Linked DNA regions of Saccharomyces cerevisiae S288C. The gene in region 1 interacts genetically with each later gene. Each region holds a gene or a part of one and is shown in the gene's direction. Other genes may lie near its edges.

Evidence for each region.
Region 2: mutations in GRX5 (region 1) and PHO5 together harm fitness less than expected from each alone (positive genetic interaction), as found in Saccharomyces cerevisiae (one large-scale study listed by BioGRID).
Region 3: mutations in GRX5 (region 1) and HXT11 together harm fitness less than expected from each alone (positive genetic interaction), as found in Saccharomyces cerevisiae (one large-scale study listed by BioGRID).

The regions. Positions count from the first base shown.
Region 1 is NC_001148.4:441,010-448,269, forward strand, and holds GRX5 (monothiol glutaredoxin GRX5), read left to right. Parts: upstream 1-3,569; coding exon 3,570-4,022; downstream 4,023-7,260. Other genes in the region: ATP-binding cassette multidrug transporter PDR12, read right to left, coding at 4,833-7,260. UniProt on the Saccharomyces cerevisiae protein: Monothiol glutaredoxin involved in mitochondrial iron-sulfur (Fe/S) cluster transfer. Receives 2Fe/2S clusters from scaffold protein ISU1 and mediates their transfer to apoproteins, to the 4Fe/FS cluster biosynthesis machinery, or export from mitochondrion.
Region 2 is NC_001134.8:427,042-432,713, reverse strand, and holds PHO5 (acid phosphatase PHO5), read left to right. Parts: upstream 1-1,762; coding exon 1,763-3,166; downstream 3,167-5,672. Other genes in the region: PBY1 (putative tubulin tyrosine ligase), read right to left, coding at 1-678; acid phosphatase PHO3, read left to right, coding at 3,613-5,016; TIM12 (Tim12p), read left to right, coding at 5,230-5,559; YBR090C (uncharacterized protein), read left to right, coding at 5,656-5,672. UniProt on the Saccharomyces cerevisiae protein: Partially mediates extracellular nucleotide derived phosphate hydrolysis along with NPP1 and NPP2.
Region 3 is NC_001147.6:23,664-29,482, forward strand, and holds HXT11 (hexose transporter HXT11), read left to right. Parts: upstream 1-1,609; coding exon 1,610-3,313; downstream 3,314-5,819. Other genes in the region: oligo-1,6-glucosidase IMA2, read right to left, coding at 1-631; YOL155W-A (uncharacterized protein), read left to right, coding at 3,421-3,555; HPF1 (mannoprotein), read right to left, coding at 5,040-5,819. UniProt on the Saccharomyces cerevisiae protein: Probable glucose transporter.

The DNA.
Region 1 (7,260 bases):
TGTTTTATGGAATTTTCAATTTGTTGAATTCCTGTATGGCCCATTCTTTTATGAGCATCTTCCAAGGTAATAGACCTTTTATTTAGTTTAAATCCAGGAGAAGAAGTAGGTTTTATTGCATTTATTTTTGAATCATCGGAAGGACGTTCAATTAACTCGTTCATTTTTACGTGAATGACACCATTAACTATCTTGGTTTTAATTTTTATGATTTTGTTTCCCAATCTGGTATATTTTCGACTTAAAACCATTTTGGTTTTCTTGGCTAAGTCATAACAGCTGATTATAGTGGATTCTTCTTCCGGTACATAGTAAGTCAATAAACACTTATTGTCAGTATTGTTGTGACCATTCTTGATTTTTATATAGCCATACCCTTTAACAGACACTGAACTGTTTTTCCCAATACCAAAAAATCGTGTACTGCGATTACTGTCTTCGTAATTATGCAGTAAGGTTTTGTCATTGGTAATGTTTACGCCGGAACCGGTATCAATAATTACCAGTTTTTTGCTGTTGTACACTTTGTTTGACTTTTTTTGTGTCTTGTTCCAAGACTTTTGTTCTTTTGCACTGGACTTAAGTTGTTGTTGTCTCTGTGCACCTTGTAGATAATAGGTTTTTGAGAAATTGGTCGAGTCAGGCCTAAGTTCCCTATTTGGTTTCTTTTTGCAGTTAATTGAGCAATGGAAAACAGATTTGCAATACATGCAGCTATTTTCTATTTGATCGTCTGCAATTGGGCTCAAATCAATTACTGTTTCAATAACAGTATTGATTAGAAATTCTTCGTGATTAATTCCTACGTTATGTGGAATGTTGTACAAACGTTGTTTCACAGAATTTCTTAAGGATTCATGTAAGGTTCCCATGATAGCTTCTTGTAGGTAATCCTTTAGATTAGGACAATCTTGGCAGCATTTAGAAAAAATCCATTTTTCCATTAGTACCAACTTTTGAAGTTTATTCATTAACAATGCGGAATTTCTACATGTTGTATCAACCAAAACCTTTTCCCAGGCTCTAATTCTGACATCTCTACCATGTAAACTTCTATATTTGTTTTTTAAACCATCGATTATCCTAAAAATGTCAGTTGTATTTGTGTTCATGATATCTAAACTTTCACCGAGTCCTTCTTTGATTATCTTGCACAAGATTTCATTTTCACGAGGATCGATTTCTATGATATCATTTTCAAAGACATCATCAAATTGATATTTCTTGATGAATTTTTTAAAATTGTTTAAGAGAATAGGAATGTTCTCGACATTATTAGTCCTATAATCAAAAACACAATCCTTAGGGTAGAATCTTTTGTTGGTTGAAGTTAACGTATCGAATAAATAGTAAGTCCCTGTAGCATCTATATGTTCATGTAATATATTATTGTTCTCGTTTGTTTCCAATAATTGTATCTTTTCAACTAGATCCACAATCCTATTCTCAACCTTGTCAATGGTTTCTCCGAGTTTTAATAATTTTTCAGCTAGCATCTGAATATCATCAGTCTCAGAAAGTTTTTCCTCTTCTGCCTTTAAACCATTTAGTATGGTTTTAAACCTATTTAAGTTTCTTTGATATTGTTTCACCTGTTCATCTTTAATAGAAACTTTTCTTAATGATGATGGCGTCTGTCTGACAGTATCATTTGTTTTGACTTTCGATTGAATCCGCGCAGAAATGTTGTCGTCAATAACATTTCTTGTTTCATCCCTCACTGGGGTCGCCATGTTGATAATTAGAGGTAAAAAATTAGTATTAATGAAGAAGTGAGTACTGATCTTCTTATACTAAATAAGAGAGGTATATAAAACACACGCCGATTGGTCATATTAATCATGACCAATATAATAGTGGTTCCGGTAGTTACTATACATTGATGTGACGACTCATATTCCTCATATATGTACCTACCATATCATGTTCAACTAATAGGTCTTTAACACAGCTTCAGTATTGTCTGAGCTTCTCGTTTAACATTCCTTCTGCAATAGGCGCAATCACACTTAAACGTATACGAGTTGTACATTAATATACGATGTAAGCATTAGATTGTTACCATAGCAACTCATGTCACTATTAATTACTCTCGTTCCAACAATCAAAGAATATTAAATGAACTTCAAATATTAAGTAATTCTCCTTGTTCTGCTTCTACGGCTCTAATCCATATTAGCATACCCGATTAATATAATTGCCTGCGATCGAATACCCAATGTACTGGATTTTGTTGGAACAAGTGATTTATCACAGTTCACACTGTCGTGAAGTAATTTGACGGTATATATCATATATAAACAATATTCAATGGTGAAATCAGCAGTTTGCGTTGAATTAAGAACATATACTACTTGAACATAAACTGGGGTTCATGTAAATGGAAAATATGAGCCATCGCATTGAGCATATGGCAGTCATAAGCAGTTTTGATTCTGCTTAAGATTCAATTAAAAGTAATTGAAAGAGTAAAATGTTTTATAGTTCAGTTAGTAACTTCGAGCAAGCTAGTGCTTGCCATTTAGGCCATTGAATAATTCAGTACGAGTATATGCTTATTATTATGGATAATTGATGCACTAGAACACAAGGAGAACGAGTATTTTAACAAATTGAGCTATTACAAAAGGAATACTTAGATACGGCATTATCTGACTTAAGGCTTCTTCATTAGTGATTGATTAAAAGAAAAAATAGAATGCAAAAGCTAAAGGAATTAAGCGAAACTAGGTTCCAGTAACACTTAATTTAGTAGCCTTATCAATATTAAGAAAGGATGGTAACCTCTAATATATCACTGCCATGTAATGAACTTCTATATTTTAGGGATTTAGGAGGGTTCTGATCTGAATCACTTATGTGTTTTATATTTTCTACATACAGCGCGACTGCTGTTTTCTATCCATAATTATTTTAAGCATGCGCTATCGTTTCTACCTAATGACAAATTGTGGTAACAGCCAGATTTATCTCAATATACATTAGTAGTCAATATCTCAAACGACATCGAATGCCGCACATAGCCATTTATTATAACAGATGAGAACCACATCACTTTTTATTACAAGGTGTCCATTATGACGACTGTAGAAGTATGCAAATCATAAGTTAGCCCAAAGAAGACATTTAGATTTTCTTACGACAATACTAATTAAGGTACCACGAACAAAGAGAGAACAGTAGGTATGTTGTATTGCTACGCCAACTTTTCTTGTGATCAAAAAGTTCAATGCATTCATTCTTCTTTATAATATAGTACAAACTGTTAATTTACTACATACGGAATCATGAGATTCTAAATTTAGTATACAGAGCTTAATTTATTCAATAAAGCATAACTAGTGCCGTAAAGAGTCTAAACCGGTATTTGGCACTGATCTGAGCTTATTGGAAAAACGTTACCCGACCAAAATAAATCACTTCTAGGAAGTAAAGGTATAAAGTATTGATGACAAATGCGTTCTAGTCCCAAAGGGACAAGAAGTTGTATTACTCTTTTCACATATATCAAGGCCACAAAGGTATCTGTTTACTTTTTGACTTTAGCAAAAATTTGAGGAAATCAGACAATGTTTCTCCCAAAATTCAATCCCATAAGGTCATTTTCCCCCATCCTCCGGGCTAAGACTCTTCTTCGTTACCAAAATCGGATGTATTTGAGCACAGAGATAAGAAAAGCTATTGAAGATGCCATCGAATCGGCTCCAGTGGTTCTTTTCATGAAAGGTACTCCTGAATTTCCCAAGTGTGGATTTTCAAGAGCAACCATTGGATTATTAGGAAATCAAGGCGTTGACCCGGCCAAATTTGCGGCTTATAATGTTTTAGAAGACCCAGAGCTACGTGAAGGTATCAAAGAGTTTTCAGAATGGCCAACTATTCCACAGTTATATGTAAACAAAGAATTCATTGGTGGATGTGATGTTATTACAAGTATGGCACGCTCTGGTGAATTGGCCGATTTGCTAGAAGAGGCACAGGCATTGGTACCTGAAGAAGAAGAAGAAACCAAAGATCGTTGATTTTGTTACCACTGGAAGCAAAATAGGAACTGGTGGCCGAACACTTTAATACTCGTGTGCATAATAGGCCTTTACGATCCATATTTATATATGCATGTACATTTGCTATTTTTTTAAAGATTTGTAATGTATTCTCATGCCTTTAGACTTGTAAATAACAGATTCTCTACTTACAAACCCCTCTCTTTGCTTTGCCAAATGAATTGACGTTATAAAACAAAGAAGTGAGAATTATGAATATATTTAATATTCCCCGCATAGACTTGAATCAAAAAACGTTAGTTTTAGAATGACAGAAGCCATATCTTCGTTCTGATTCAACGTGCGAAAGACGCGACAGACATTTGTTGGGGTTGTCTTTGTTACTCTCTTGATTTTCGATAGATTCCGTACTGTTACCAGTTTGCTTTTCCCCCATTTTTTTTAACGTAAAAGGATTGGAAGATAATAGGCGAGCTCAATTTTATTGCCCTGCGAAGCTTTCAAATATGTTAGTCAAAGGATCAAACTTCCTTTTGAAGGTGATAGGGATATAATGAACACACAATTGTGCCTTTAAGCCATTACTCACGAGTGGGATAGAAATGAAATTCTTTTCTTTTAAATGGTATTAATAATTAATATATTAAATAATTATATTGATTCTATACATAAAACATTAGTGTGAAATTTTCGGAAAATAATAATAGAAAGTAAAATCAAATGTAAAATTAAAAAAATGATGTTAAAGGACGCCAAAATTTGTGAAAAAAAATTGAAAATAAAAATTGTGTGTTAAACCACGAAATACAAATATATTTGCTTGCTTGTTTATTTCTTCGTGATTTTATTTTCGTCACCTGGAACTGTTTGGAAAATGTTGGTATCTTTTTCATGTCTTTCCTTTCTTGGCCCATTAAACCATTTCTTGAAATTCAAAACAGACTTCAAAGACCACACCTTAACTCTTACAACATAGTAACAAATCAACATAGCGGCAATATTGAAGCAAATATAAGCCCACATGAAACCAAAGTTTCTCCATCTGTGATCCCATTTGACATTGTATTTAGCCACAACTTGATCTTGAACAGTGTATGGGCAATATTGACAGTTTTCGGTGGCAGTTGGATTTACCAAATAACCGGTATTATTGTCCATATAGGTAGATAAAAACTCACCACAAGTTTTTCCGCTTGGTGGGTCCATGATGTTGTATTCATGAGGATTACAAACGACCTTTTTATTGTGAACTAATGGTGTAACCAAAGCTTGAACCACGTAGGTAAATGGTGATACATTATACATCAATCTTCTCCAGAAGGCAGGCATTTTCTCTCTTGGTTGTAAAATACCACAGAACAGTAACATAGCAGCAAACAAATTGGAATTAATCATAGAAGCTGAGGGAACATCAGGAGACATGTACAGGATCCATAGACCATATGTGACAAAATATAATGGGAAAATTAAAACATAGAAGAAGAAGAAGAAACCTGCATGAGATGCACGTCCACTGAATTGAGCTGGCCAGTAGTAGCAAATGAAACACATAAACTGACAAAGTGTGGACCAAAAGTTTTCAACAGCAGCATGACATAATAACAAGACACTCCAATGGAAAGTGTTAGAAGCGGCTTCTCTAACCTCATATAATTCCCTACTATCATAAGCGAAGACGTGCAGTTGATTGATCATAGCCAGAGCAATCAATAATAGCATGAAAATAGACGAAAAGGCCTCAATGGCACCACCAACAGAGTGATTTACACCAACATATGATAAACCGACGAACAAAGCACATGCGACACATTCAAAGAATTTGGCCCTGATATAGACAGGCGATCTCCAAAATTGAAGAGCTGTTCTACGTAAAACACATTTGATTTGAGTCATGTAACTGGCAGCAAATCTTGTAGCTAACTCAGGATCATCATTAACTGCTCTACCAGGTAAAGTACGATGTAATTCTTCAACTTCAGCCCTTGCAGCGGCACATTCTGGGGAAGCAAGCCATAAGTCGTGCCAATCAGAGTTAACACTAGCAGTGGCACCGGCACCAATACAATTCAAAATATATTCAGCTGGATTTTCAGAAACACCACACTTCATACCAGATTGACGTTCAAAATACTTCAACAAAGTTTCAGAATTTGGACCAATGTCACCAAAGTAAACCATCTTACCACCTTTCTTTAACAACAACAATCTGTCAAACTGTTCAAACAAGGTAGCAGAGGGTTGATGAATCGTACACAAAATGGATTGACCAGAATCAGCTAAGGCTCTCATGAATTGAACAATTGACCAAGCAGACTGAGAGTCCAGACCAGAGGTAGGCTCATCCAAAAACAATAATAATGATGGTTTAGCAACCAGTTCAACACCAATAGATAACTTCTTTCTCTGTTCAACGTTCAAACCTCTACCAGTCTTACCAACTAAGGCTTCAGCGTAATTTTGCATACCTAGCAATGTGATAATTTTTTCAACATATTCATATTTCTCCTCTAACGGAACGGAACTTTGCTGTCTTAACTCGGCTGCAAATCTCAGGGATTCCCTAACAGATAATTCGGCCATATGATTATCGGCTTGCGCAACATAACCACATGATCTGTTGAAAGAAGCAGGCAAGGGCTTGGCATTGACTAACATATCACCAGTGATGACACCCATATTGATTCTTTGTGCTAAAACATTTAACAAGGTAGTTTTACCAGCACCGGATTCACCCATCAAGGCGGTCATCTTACCAGGCTTAACGTAACCAAAGACATCCGATAATAATTTTCTTGTAGCTCCGTCGTATGGAATGGTGTAGTCCAGATGGTTCCAGGTGAAAACGTCCTTTTCTGCAATGACCTTTTCTAAATCGACATTTGGACCATTCAGAGCCTCCATCATTTCCTCTCTGGAAGCGGTTCTTGCATCTGCATTTTCGGTACCTAACTCCGGCATATGACCTCTCTTATATAACAGCAAGTCACCTCCTCCCTCAACAGGTTTCAAATATTCTGATAAGATGACATTGAACACAATATAACCAAAAGTCCACACAATGTTCACACCCCAATTTCTCCAAGCATGCTTATATGCGAAATGATATTGGTGTAAGATGTAAGAGTCACCGCTAACATACAAGTTACCCTTAACCGCACCAGCAGCATCACAGACTTGGTTAGCAATAGAAATACCTTCATAACCAGGACCAGATGGGACTAAGGCGCTACACAACATTTCCCTGTGGTGAAATTCA
Region 2 (5,672 bases), on another chromosome or scaffold:
AACCTTTGTATCATCACTTAAACTCTCCACTAAAGGAATATTGATACTATATAGATCTGTTTTTGGGTCCCAATTCTTAACAAGATGTTTGATAACATCTAAAGATCTCTTAGAGGCCTTCTCCATTAAAAGTGGGGAGACGTTTTTCAATCCATTAAAATAGGCCCAAGAAATAGCAATGGCCTTTGTATTTCCAGTAATAACAGATTCCATTGCGCCTCCTACGGTACCAGAAGAGGTAATATAAGCAGCAGATGTATTTCTACCAACATTTGGACCCGACAGTACTAGATCAAACGGTTCATTAGACAATAGGTGCAGCCCGATGTTTGCGCACGATGCTGGAGTTCCATCGATTAATATCCACTCAATTGTATCTTTCGGAATTTCAGCATTGAGAACATAAGGTAATTTAGAGTTTTCTGACCTAATTTGTGGCTGGATAAATGGGCCCCAAAAAGTATTGTCTTCAGCGTCAACTTTAGAATATATGAATTGAGCTGTCAAATTTTTACCAGCAAGATGAGCCTTACCCACCCATGATTTCTGGACATGAGGTACACAAACCGTGATTTTCCATTCAGGATAATTTCTTTTAATGTGCTGAATAAAAGGTCTAATGTATGGTGAAAACTGATCACTTAAGGGACCATCATCGTTAGTTATTAAAACCCGCATCTTAAAAGAAATATTTATTGTTTCCGAATTTTTAATGTCAGAGATCAAGTCAGAGCGGCTGCCTTTACCGTAATTTTCAATTGCTAAATACAATGTTCCTTGGTTATCCCATCGCCAATAATTTTTATTTTTACCACTGTTGAAGAAGCGAAAGAAAAAAAAAGGGAAAATCAAAACATTCCCTGTGCACTAATAGAAGAAAACAAGAGACTCCGTCCCTCTTTAGTGAGAAAATTGACCAGAGATGGTTTTTGTCCATCTTTTCGCAAAAAATTAGTTCTATTTTTTACACATCGGACTGATAAGTTACTACTGCACATTGGCATTAGCTAGGAGGGCATCCAAGTAATAATTGCGAGAAACGTGACCCAACTTTGTTGTAGGTCCGCTCCTTCTAATAATCGCTTGTATCTCTACATATGTTCTATTTACTGACCGAAAGTAGCTCGCTACAATAATAATGTTGACCTGATGTCAGTCCCCACGCTAATAGCGGCGTGTCGCACGCTCTCTTTACAGGACGCCGGAGACCGGCATTACAAGGATCCGAAAGTTGTATTCAACAAGAATGCGCAAATATGTCAACGTATTTGGAAGTCATCTTATGTGCGCTGCTTTAATGTTTTCTCATGTAAGCGGACGTCGTCTATAAACTTCAAACGAAGGTAAAAGGTTCATAGCGCTTTTTCTTTGTCTGCACAAAGAAATATATATTAAATTAGCACGTTTTCGCATAGAACGCAACTGCACAATGCCAAAAAAAGTAAAAGTGATTAAAAGAGTTAATTGAATAGGCAATCTCTAAATGAATCGATACAACCTTGGCACTCACACGTGGGACTAGCACAGACTAAATTTATGATTCTGGTCCCTGTTTTCGAAGAGATCGCACATGCCAAATTATCAAATTGGTCACCTTACTTGGCAAGGCATATACCCATTTGGGATAAGGGTAAACATCTTTGAATTGTCGAAATGAAACGTATATAAGCGCTGATGTTTTGCTAAGTCGAGGTTAGTATGGCTTCATCTCTCATGAGAATAAGAACAACAACAAATAGAGCAAGCAAATTCGAGATTACCAATGTTTAAATCTGTTGTTTATTCAATTTTAGCCGCTTCTTTGGCCAATGCAGGTACCATTCCCTTAGGCAAACTAGCCGATGTCGACAAGATTGGTACCCAAAAAGATATCTTCCCATTTTTGGGTGGTGCCGGACCATACTACTCTTTCCCTGGCGACTATGGTATTTCTCGTGATTTGCCTGAAGGTTGTGAAATGAAGCAACTGCAAATGGTTGGTAGACATGGTGAAAGATACCCTACTGTCAGTCTGGCTAAGACTATCAAGAGTACATGGTATAAGTTGAGCAATTACACTCGTCAATTCAACGGCTCATTGTCATTCTTGAACGATGATTACGAGTTTTTCATCCGTGATGACGATGATTTGGAAATGGAAACCACTTTTGCCAACTCGGACGATGTTTTGAACCCATACACTGGTGAAATGAACGCCAAGAGACATGCTCGTGACTTCTTGGCTCAATACGGTTACATGGTCGAAAACCAAACCAGTTTCGCCGTTTTTACCTCTAATTCTAAGAGATGTCATGACACTGCTCAATATTTCATTGATGGTTTAGGTGACCAATTCAACATCACCTTGCAGACTGTCAGTGAAGCTGAATCCGCTGGTGCCAACACTTTGAGTGCTTGTAACTCATGTCCTGCTTGGGACTACGATGCCAATGATGACATTGTAAATGAATACGACACAACCTACTTGGATGACATTGCCAAGAGATTGAACAAGGAAAACAAGGGTTTGAACTTGACCTCAACTGACGCTAGTACTTTATTCTCGTGGTGTGCATTTGAAGTGAACGCTAAAGGTTACAGTGATGTCTGTGATATTTTCACCAAGGATGAATTAGTCCATTACTCCTACTACCAAGACTTGCACACTTATTACCATGAGGGTCCAGGTTACGACATTATCAAGTCTGTCGGTTCCAACTTGTTCAATGCCTCAGTCAAATTATTAAAGCAAAGTGAGATTCAAGACCAAAAGGTTTGGTTGAGTTTTACCCACGATACCGATATCCTAAACTTTTTGACCACCGCTGGTATAATTGACGACAAAAACAACTTAACTGCCGAATACGTTCCATTCATGGGCAACACTTTCCACAGATCCTGGTACGTTCCTCAAGGTGCTCGTGTCTACACCGAAAAATTCCAATGTTCTAACGACACCTACGTCAGATACGTCATTAACGATGCTGTTGTTCCAATTGAAACCTGTTCCACTGGTCCAGGGTTCTCTTGTGAAATCAATGACTTCTACGACTATGCTGAAAAGAGAGTAGCCGGTACTGACTTCCTAAAGGTCTGTAACGTCAGCAGCGTCAGTAACTCTACTGAATTGACCTTCTACTGGGACTGGAACACTACTCATTACAACGCCAGTCTATTGAGACAATAGTTTTGTATAACTAAATAATATTGGAAACTAAATACGAATACCCAAATTTTTTATCTAAATTTTGCCGAAAGATTAAAATCTGCAGAGATATCCGAAACAGGTAAATGGATGTTTCAATCCCTGTAGTCAGTCAGGAACCCATATTATATTACAGTATTAGTCGCCGCTTAGGCACGCCTTTAATTAGCAAAATCAAACCTTAAGTGCATATGCCGTATAAGGGAAACTCAAAGAACTGGCATCGCAAAAATGAAAAAAAGGAAGAGTGAAAAAAAAAAAATTCAAAAGAAATTTACTAAATAATACCAGTTTGGGAAATAGTAAACAGCTTTGAGTAGTCCTATGCAACATATATAAGTGCTTAAATTTGCTGGATGGAAGTCAATTATGCCTTGATTATCATAAAAAAAATACTACAGTAAAGAAAGGGCCATTCCAAATTACCTATGTTTAAGTCTGTTGTTTATTCGGTTCTAGCCGCTGCTTTAGTTAATGCAGGTACAATTCCCCTCGGAGAGTTAGCCGATGTTGCCAAAATTGGCACTCAGGAAGACATATTCCCATTCCTGGGTGGTGCCGGGCCATACTTCTCTTTCCCTGGCGACTATGGTATTTCTCGTGACTTGCCTGAAGGTTGTGAAATGAAACAATTGCAAATGCTTGCCAGACATGGTGAAAGATACCCAACTTACAGTAAAGGTGCTACCATCATGAAAACATGGTATAAGTTGAGCAATTACACACGTCAATTCAACGGCTCATTGTCATTCTTGAACGATGATTACGAGTTTTTCATCCGTGATGACGATGATTTGGAAATGGAAACCACTTTTGCCAACTCAGACAATGTTTTGAATCCATACACTGGTGAGATGGATGCTAAGAGACATGCTCGTGAGTTTTTAGCGCAATATGGCTACATGTTCGAAAATCAAACCAGTTTCCCAATTTTCGCCGCTAGTTCTGAAAGGGTTCATGACACTGCTCAATATTTCATTGATGGTTTAGGTGACCAATTCAACATCTCCTTGCAGACTGTCAGTGAAGCCATGTCCGCCGGCGCAAACACTTTGAGTGCTGGTAATGCGTGCCCAGGATGGGATGAAGATGCTAACGATGACATTTTGGACAAATACGATACCACATACTTGGATGACATTGCCAAGAGATTAAACAAAGAAAACAAGGGTTTGAATTTGACCTCAAAGGACGCCAACACTTTGTTTGCATGGTGTGCATACGAATTGAACGCTAGAGGCTACAGTGATGTTTGTGATATCTTCACCGAAGATGAATTGGTACGTTACTCATACGGCCAGGACCTGGTATCGTTTTACCAGGATGGACCAGGTTATGATATGATCAGATCCGTCGGTGCCAACTTGTTTAACGCTACTTTGAAGTTGTTAAAGCAAAGTGAAACTCAAGACTTAAAAGTCTGGTTGAGTTTTACCCACGATACCGATATCCTAAACTATTTGACCACCGCTGGTATAATTGACGACAAAAACAACTTAACTGCCGAATACGTTCCATTCATGGGCAACACCTTCCATAAGTCCTGGTACGTTCCTCAAGGTGCTCGTGTCTACACCGAAAAATTCCAATGTTCTAACGACACCTACGTCAGATACGTCATTAACGATGCTGTCGTTCCAATTGAAACCTGTTCCACCGGCCCAGGGTTCTCTTGTGAAATCAATGATTTCTACGACTATGCTGAAAAGAGAGTAGCTGGTACTGACTTCCTAAAGGTCTGTAACGTCAGCAGTGTCAGTAACGTCACCGAATTGACCTTCTACTGGGACTGGAATACTACTCACTACAACGATACCCTATTAAAACAATAAATTGTATAAATAAATAATATTGCAAATATAAATAAATACCCATCGATTCTGATCTTCTTTTATGTACTAGTAGGGTAACGAGTTTGTAGATTAGCGGCAGAATGAAAAGAAAAAAGTTAACTAAAAAGTAAGAACAGCAAAGTTGATTGTAGTCTATATTGCTGAAATAGATATCGGAGCTCCCGTATAATATTAAAGTGCACCAAGAAAAGGATGTCGTTCTTTTTAAATAGTCTAAGGGGCAACCAGGAGGTCTCGCAAGAGAAGCTAGACGTTGCAGGAGTGCAATTCGATGCGATGTGCTCGACTTTCAACAATATTCTCAGTACGTGTCTTGAGAAATGTATTCCGCATGAGGGCTTTGGTGAGCCTGATCTAACGAAAGGTGAGCAATGCTGCATAGACAGATGTGTGGCAAAGATGCATTACAGCAATCGCCTCATTGGAGGATTTGTACAAACACGAGGTTTCGGGCCAGAGAATCAGCTACGACATTATTCGCGATTTGTGGCCAAAGAAATAGCTGATGATTCCAAAAAATAGCTGTAAATATGAGGACTGTCTGTGCTGTTTGTATATAATAGTAACCTGCATATATAGCATTATAAGCTGTGTAGACAATTTTAGAAGTACATTTATATGGTACCCGCACCTGG
Region 3 (5,819 bases), on another chromosome or scaffold:
CGTCTACACCATGGTCTAACCAGTATCCAACGGCACTTTCGTAGATTGCCTTTCTACAGTCCTCATTCTCCCAATTCAAATCAGGTTGGGTGGAGCAAAACAAACGCAAGTAAAACTCTTGTGTCTTTTCATCGAACGTCCATGCAGAACCACCGAAGTAAGACCTCCAATTGTTTGGAGGAATTGGCTTGCCTTCGGCGTCATAACCCTTAGGAGGTCTCCAGAAGAACCAGTCACGTTTTGGATTGGTTTTTGAGGATCTGCTCTCTTTGAACCATTCATGTTCGCTCGAGCAATGGTTGATGACTAAGTCGGTGATAAATTTCATACCAAGCTTATGTGTCTTTTCGATCAAGGCAAAGCAGTCCTCGTTCGTACCGTAGGTTGGCCAGACCTTTTCGTAGTTGGCAATATCGTAACCCATATCATCTTGTGGCGAGTCGTAGAATGGTGAGATCCAAATGGCATCGGCACCAAGCTCTTTGATATACTCCAACTTGGAGGCAATACCCTTCATATCACCCCACCCATCGTTGTTGGAGTCTTTGAAACTTGCGGGATAAATTTGATAGATTGTGGCCTCTTTCCACCACTTGGGTTCTGTTTCTGGATGTGCAGAAGAAATAGTCATTGTACGTTGCTTTCTTTTCTTTATGAAAAAACTTTCACTTTTGTTTGTGTGTTTGGACTGGTGAATGGAACATATATTCTAGTACAGCTAATTCCTCGAGTGAAGAAGTCTTTCTTACTTATATATGTCTTTTACGTGCCTATGGACGTCTTACGAATGATCGAAAATAAGAAAAGAACAAAGTAAATTTAGGATCTGGAAGGAGTGCTGTATGTAAACGAAGCTTTCAGTTTTAGGTAATGTTTGCACAACCTACATGATATAACATGGTATGTTCTGCAAGAGCGTGCCTGGCCCTTGGCCCGTTATAGCAGATCATACCATCTGCAAGCAGACCCCATTATTGCACTGCCTCCGCAATCTTGCGTATACGTAGTCCCACGACAAAGTACGAAGCGTAAACTGACCTTGTTCAGTTCCCCACAAAAATTACATAACCATTTCTCCGCGGAATTACATAATCATTTCTCCGCGAAAATTACATAATCATTTCTCCGTGCGAGTTATAAGTGCTTTTCTCGTGCATCCCTTGGCACTTCACAAAACCTTCTTTTTCTTTTTTTTCTTTATTTCAGGGGAAATCAGTGCAAAACTAAAAAAGAAAGAAATTTTGTGAAATGTAAACTCCAGGTGTCAAAAAATAAATTATATCCGTGGAAAATCAGGCGTCGGAAATTGTAGATGAAACCGCCTCCTCCACAATAAATGCTGACCACACGAACAATGCATACACTCGGACACCTTCGTTCAAAGTATCAGTAGCAGTTCGACACACCGTATACTACTTAGCTCTTAAGGTCTAGGCTCATCTTTCTCAGTTCCTCTTTTTCGCTAATTAAAGGTATATAATGTCACAGTTGTGTAACTAGAGAAGAGCACACTTGTTCCTATCTTTTTCTTCTTCTTTTTTTGGTATGAGTTGAAAAAAATAATCATTGCACAATTTAGTTCTAAACGCTTTTGTTATTACTCAATATCATGTCAGGTGTTAATAATACATCCGCAAATGAGTTATCTACTACCATGTCTAACTCTAACTCAGCAGTAGGCGCTCCCTCTGTTAAGACTGAACACGGTGACTCTAAAAATTCCCTTAACCTAGATGCCAATGAGCCACCTATTGACTTACCTCAAAAACCCCTCTCTGCGTATACCACCGTCGCAATCCTGTGTTTGATGATTGCATTTGGCGGCTTCATCTTTGGTTGGGATACCGGTACCATTTCTGGTTTTGTTAACCTTTCTGATTTCATCAGAAGGTTCGGTCAAAAAAATGACAAGGGAACCTACTACTTATCGAAAGTAAGAATGGGTTTGATCGTCTCAATATTCAACATTGGCTGCGCCATAGGCGGAATTGTCTTGTCAAAAGTCGGTGATATATATGGTCGTCGTATTGGATTGATTACAGTTACTGCCATTTACGTTGTAGGCATCCTAATCCAAATAACTTCCATAAACAAGTGGTACCAATACTTCATTGGAAGAATTATTTCTGGCCTAGGAGTGGGAGGCATTGCTGTCCTTTCCCCAATGTTGATATCTGAAGTTGCTCCCAAACATATCAGAGGAACTCTGGTCCAATTGTACCAGCTGATGGGTACGATGGGTATTTTTCTAGGATACTGTACCAATTACGGTACCAAGAACTATCACAACGCCACTCAATGGAGAGTCGGCCTTGGTCTTTGCTTTGCCTGGGCTACATTCATGGTTAGTGGAATGATGTTTGTACCAGAATCACCACGTTACCTGATTGAGGTTGGTAAAGATGAGGAAGCGAAACGTTCACTATCGAAATCCAACAAAGTCTCAGTTGACGATCCAGCCTTGCTAGTTGAATATGACACTATAAAGGCAGGAATTGAACTTGAAAAGCTGGCAGGTAACGCATCATGGTCTGAACTACTCTCCACTAAAACAAAGGTCTTTCAGCGTGTTCTCATGGGAGTGATGATCCAATCGCTGCAGCAATTAACCGGTGACAACTACTTCTTTTACTACGGTACCACCATCTTCAAATCTGTCGGTCTAAAGGACTCCTTTCAGACTTCGATCATTATCGGTGTGGTTAATTTTTTCTCTTCATTCATAGCGGTATACACCATTGAGAGGTTTGGACGCCGTACGTGTCTATTGTGGGGTGCTGCTTCTATGCTATGCTGCTTTGCTGTGTTTGCCTCCGTCGGTGTGACAAAGTTGTGGCCTCAAGGAAGCAGTCACCAAGACATTACTTCTCAGGGCGCCGGTAACTGTATGATTGTGTTTACTATGTTCTTCATTTTTTCGTTCGCCACCACTTGGGCAGGCGGCTGTTACGTTATTGTCTCAGAGACGTTTCCTCTTAGGGTCAAATCAAGAGGAATGGCAATCGCAACAGCTGCAAACTGGATGTGGGGTTTCCTGATTAGTTTCTTTACCCCATTCATTACCGGGGCAATCAACTTTTACTACGGTTACGTATTCTTAGGCTGTCTGGTTTTTGCATACTTTTATGTCTTTTTCTTTGTCCCAGAAACAAAAGGCCTGACACTGGAGGAGGTGAATACTATGTGGCTGGAAGGTGTGCCAGCATGGAAATCGGCCTCATGGGTGCCACCGGAGAGAAGAACCGCAGATTACGATGCTGATGCAATAGATCATGACAATAGACCAATTTACAAGAGGTTCTTTTCCAGCTGATCTTCTAGTTTTCGGTAAATTGGTAAAAAAGCAAAAAAAAAAATTGACGAAACTAATTCTCTATTATACATAATGTTTTTACTTTTGTACCCTTTAATTTCTAATGAATGTTTTATGGAAGCTTCAATAAATGCGTGACTGGCTATAGTTGTCGGATGGCAATCCATTATTATGTATACCGTATTATTAAGAGTGCAACTAGGCCCGACTATAAATCTAACACTCAGATCCTTGTACTGTAATGCATATTTATTTTTTCACAAGTTGCATGCTAATAATACCATGATATTTTTTGAAGCCTTGAAAAATAGTTCAAGCAGCTACGATATCATGAATCAATATACTCATTGCAGCCTATGTAATATATATAGGTTCCGTGTTACCACTCGTTTCTGATATTTTCGATATGGCTACACTGGGTTTTTCATGATGGAAATGTGATACTACCAGTTCCAATATATTTATCTTCCTTATCTATATGACACGCTGTTATTTTAGTTCAAGTCAGTGTCCAATTGGGGTGAGTGTCACGTGCACAACGACGGTAGTCGTTGGATGTGCTAAATGATGTTCTACTGCCAATGACTGCAAATACGTTCGAAGAGTATAAAATCGAAGGAAACGAATTAAGTTGCCAATCCTTACTGTAACTATAGCATGTTACATATATGTACCATAAGTATCACATTAAGGTTTCGCCATAGCCATGTGCCTATATTAAATAGAAATATCACATGGCGATCCACGGAATGTTTATAGATTTTCTTCTTTTGTCTATGGCCCGGGCGAGACATTAATTTATCTTGCTGAAAAATTCGAAAGTTAAAACTCAATTATGCGTGGGATTTCTCAATTAGGTTACCAGAATTTCAATCTGCTGAAGAATTATGTCTTAAAAAAAAAAGTCCCGCCTCAAAAAAGCCAAAAAGGGTGTGACTGTAGATTGTGGGTTACTTGCTGTCAAATGACATGAAAATCTCTGCCTGCATGATCCCTGTCAAAATTCGAAAACACGCGGTCATAAAATTGTGCCTCAAAAAGATATCTTTTCCTGCGGGTTCTCTTAGTAAATGAGGTTAGGTTGTTTCCTATTCTTACGAGATTTCCCTTGTTCTCGCCGCTCACATCATTGTCGGTAAGATCTTCCGTAGTGGCAGGTCAAGCAGTGAGGAAGAAAGATCGGCAGTAAACTGATAAGAGCCAAACCGAAAAGTTTCTTATACGCAAAAACGCTTTGAAAATTCTCCAAGAATCCTATTTGAAACTCTTATTAATAAATAAAGTATAAATATAATAAAGTTTATTGTGAGACATGTCGCGATAAGCACCCCTTGTCTTTCTTGGAAGGGAGAAATTTGTAATATAAAGCCAAGTGTTCAGAACTCGATTTTTTTCTGACCAAAGAGCGGAAGCTCCACTATAAAAGTTGGGAGGTACTTTTAGGTTCTCTTAAGTTCGCATTTAATTATGGCCTGAACGATTTTACTGTGGACAATAAGTGAAATAAGTGTCCTTAAAATGTGTACGATGTGTACACATCAACCTAGTCTCCCCTTCATTGGCAGAAGAGGGAACCATTTCATCCAAAAAGAATAAAAAAAATAAAAAAAATCCAAATATTAAGCTAAAAAAATACTTAACTGTTTACACAAAGCGTATATAAAACGCATATTAAGAACCTATCTCGTTTCAGAGGAATAAACTTTTAATTCCTCAGTTAAAAAAATTAGTTAAAGAAAGCAAGAACGAAAATACCGACCAATGCATTCAAAGTATTGGCATTCAAACCTGCGGCAATACCCTCGGACTGGACAATGATACCAGTAGAGGTCTTTATTGGAGCTGCAGATTTGGAGTATGTGGAAATTGCACTAGAAGCCTTGGAAATGGCAGTAGTCAATGAGGTTGCTTTAGAACCCTCAGAAGTGACAGTAGTGTATGACTTTGGAGAAGCACTAGTTGCGGTGACGGTTGAAGTAGCTTCAGGTATTTGAGAGGTGATTATCTTGACGTTACAACCATTGTCATCACATTGAGTAACAGTGGCAGTAGTGTATGTCTTAGGGGCAGCACTGGTTTCTGAAGTTTCTGAAGTTTCTTTAGGAGCTTCAGAAGTGACAGTCTTGGTGCTACATCCATTGTCATCGCACTGAGTAACAGTAGCGGTAGTGTATGTCTTTGGAGAAACAGTAGTGGTTGTGGCTTCAGGGGCCTCAGAGGTGACAGTCTTAGTGTTACAGCCGTTGTCGTCACAGTGAGTAACGGTAACAGTAGTGTATGATTTTGGAGAAGTAGTAGTTGCTGAAGTTTCTTCAGGACATTCAGAAGTGACAGTCTTGGTGTTACAGCCATTGTTGTCACAGTGGGTGACGGTAACAGTGGTGTATGATTTGGAAGAAACGGTTTCAGTGGCGACGGTACCGGTAGACGTAGTTACATGACATCCGGTCTCATCGCAAGAAGTGATAGTGGCGGTGGTAGATGAACATGGTACGGTTGTGGTAAT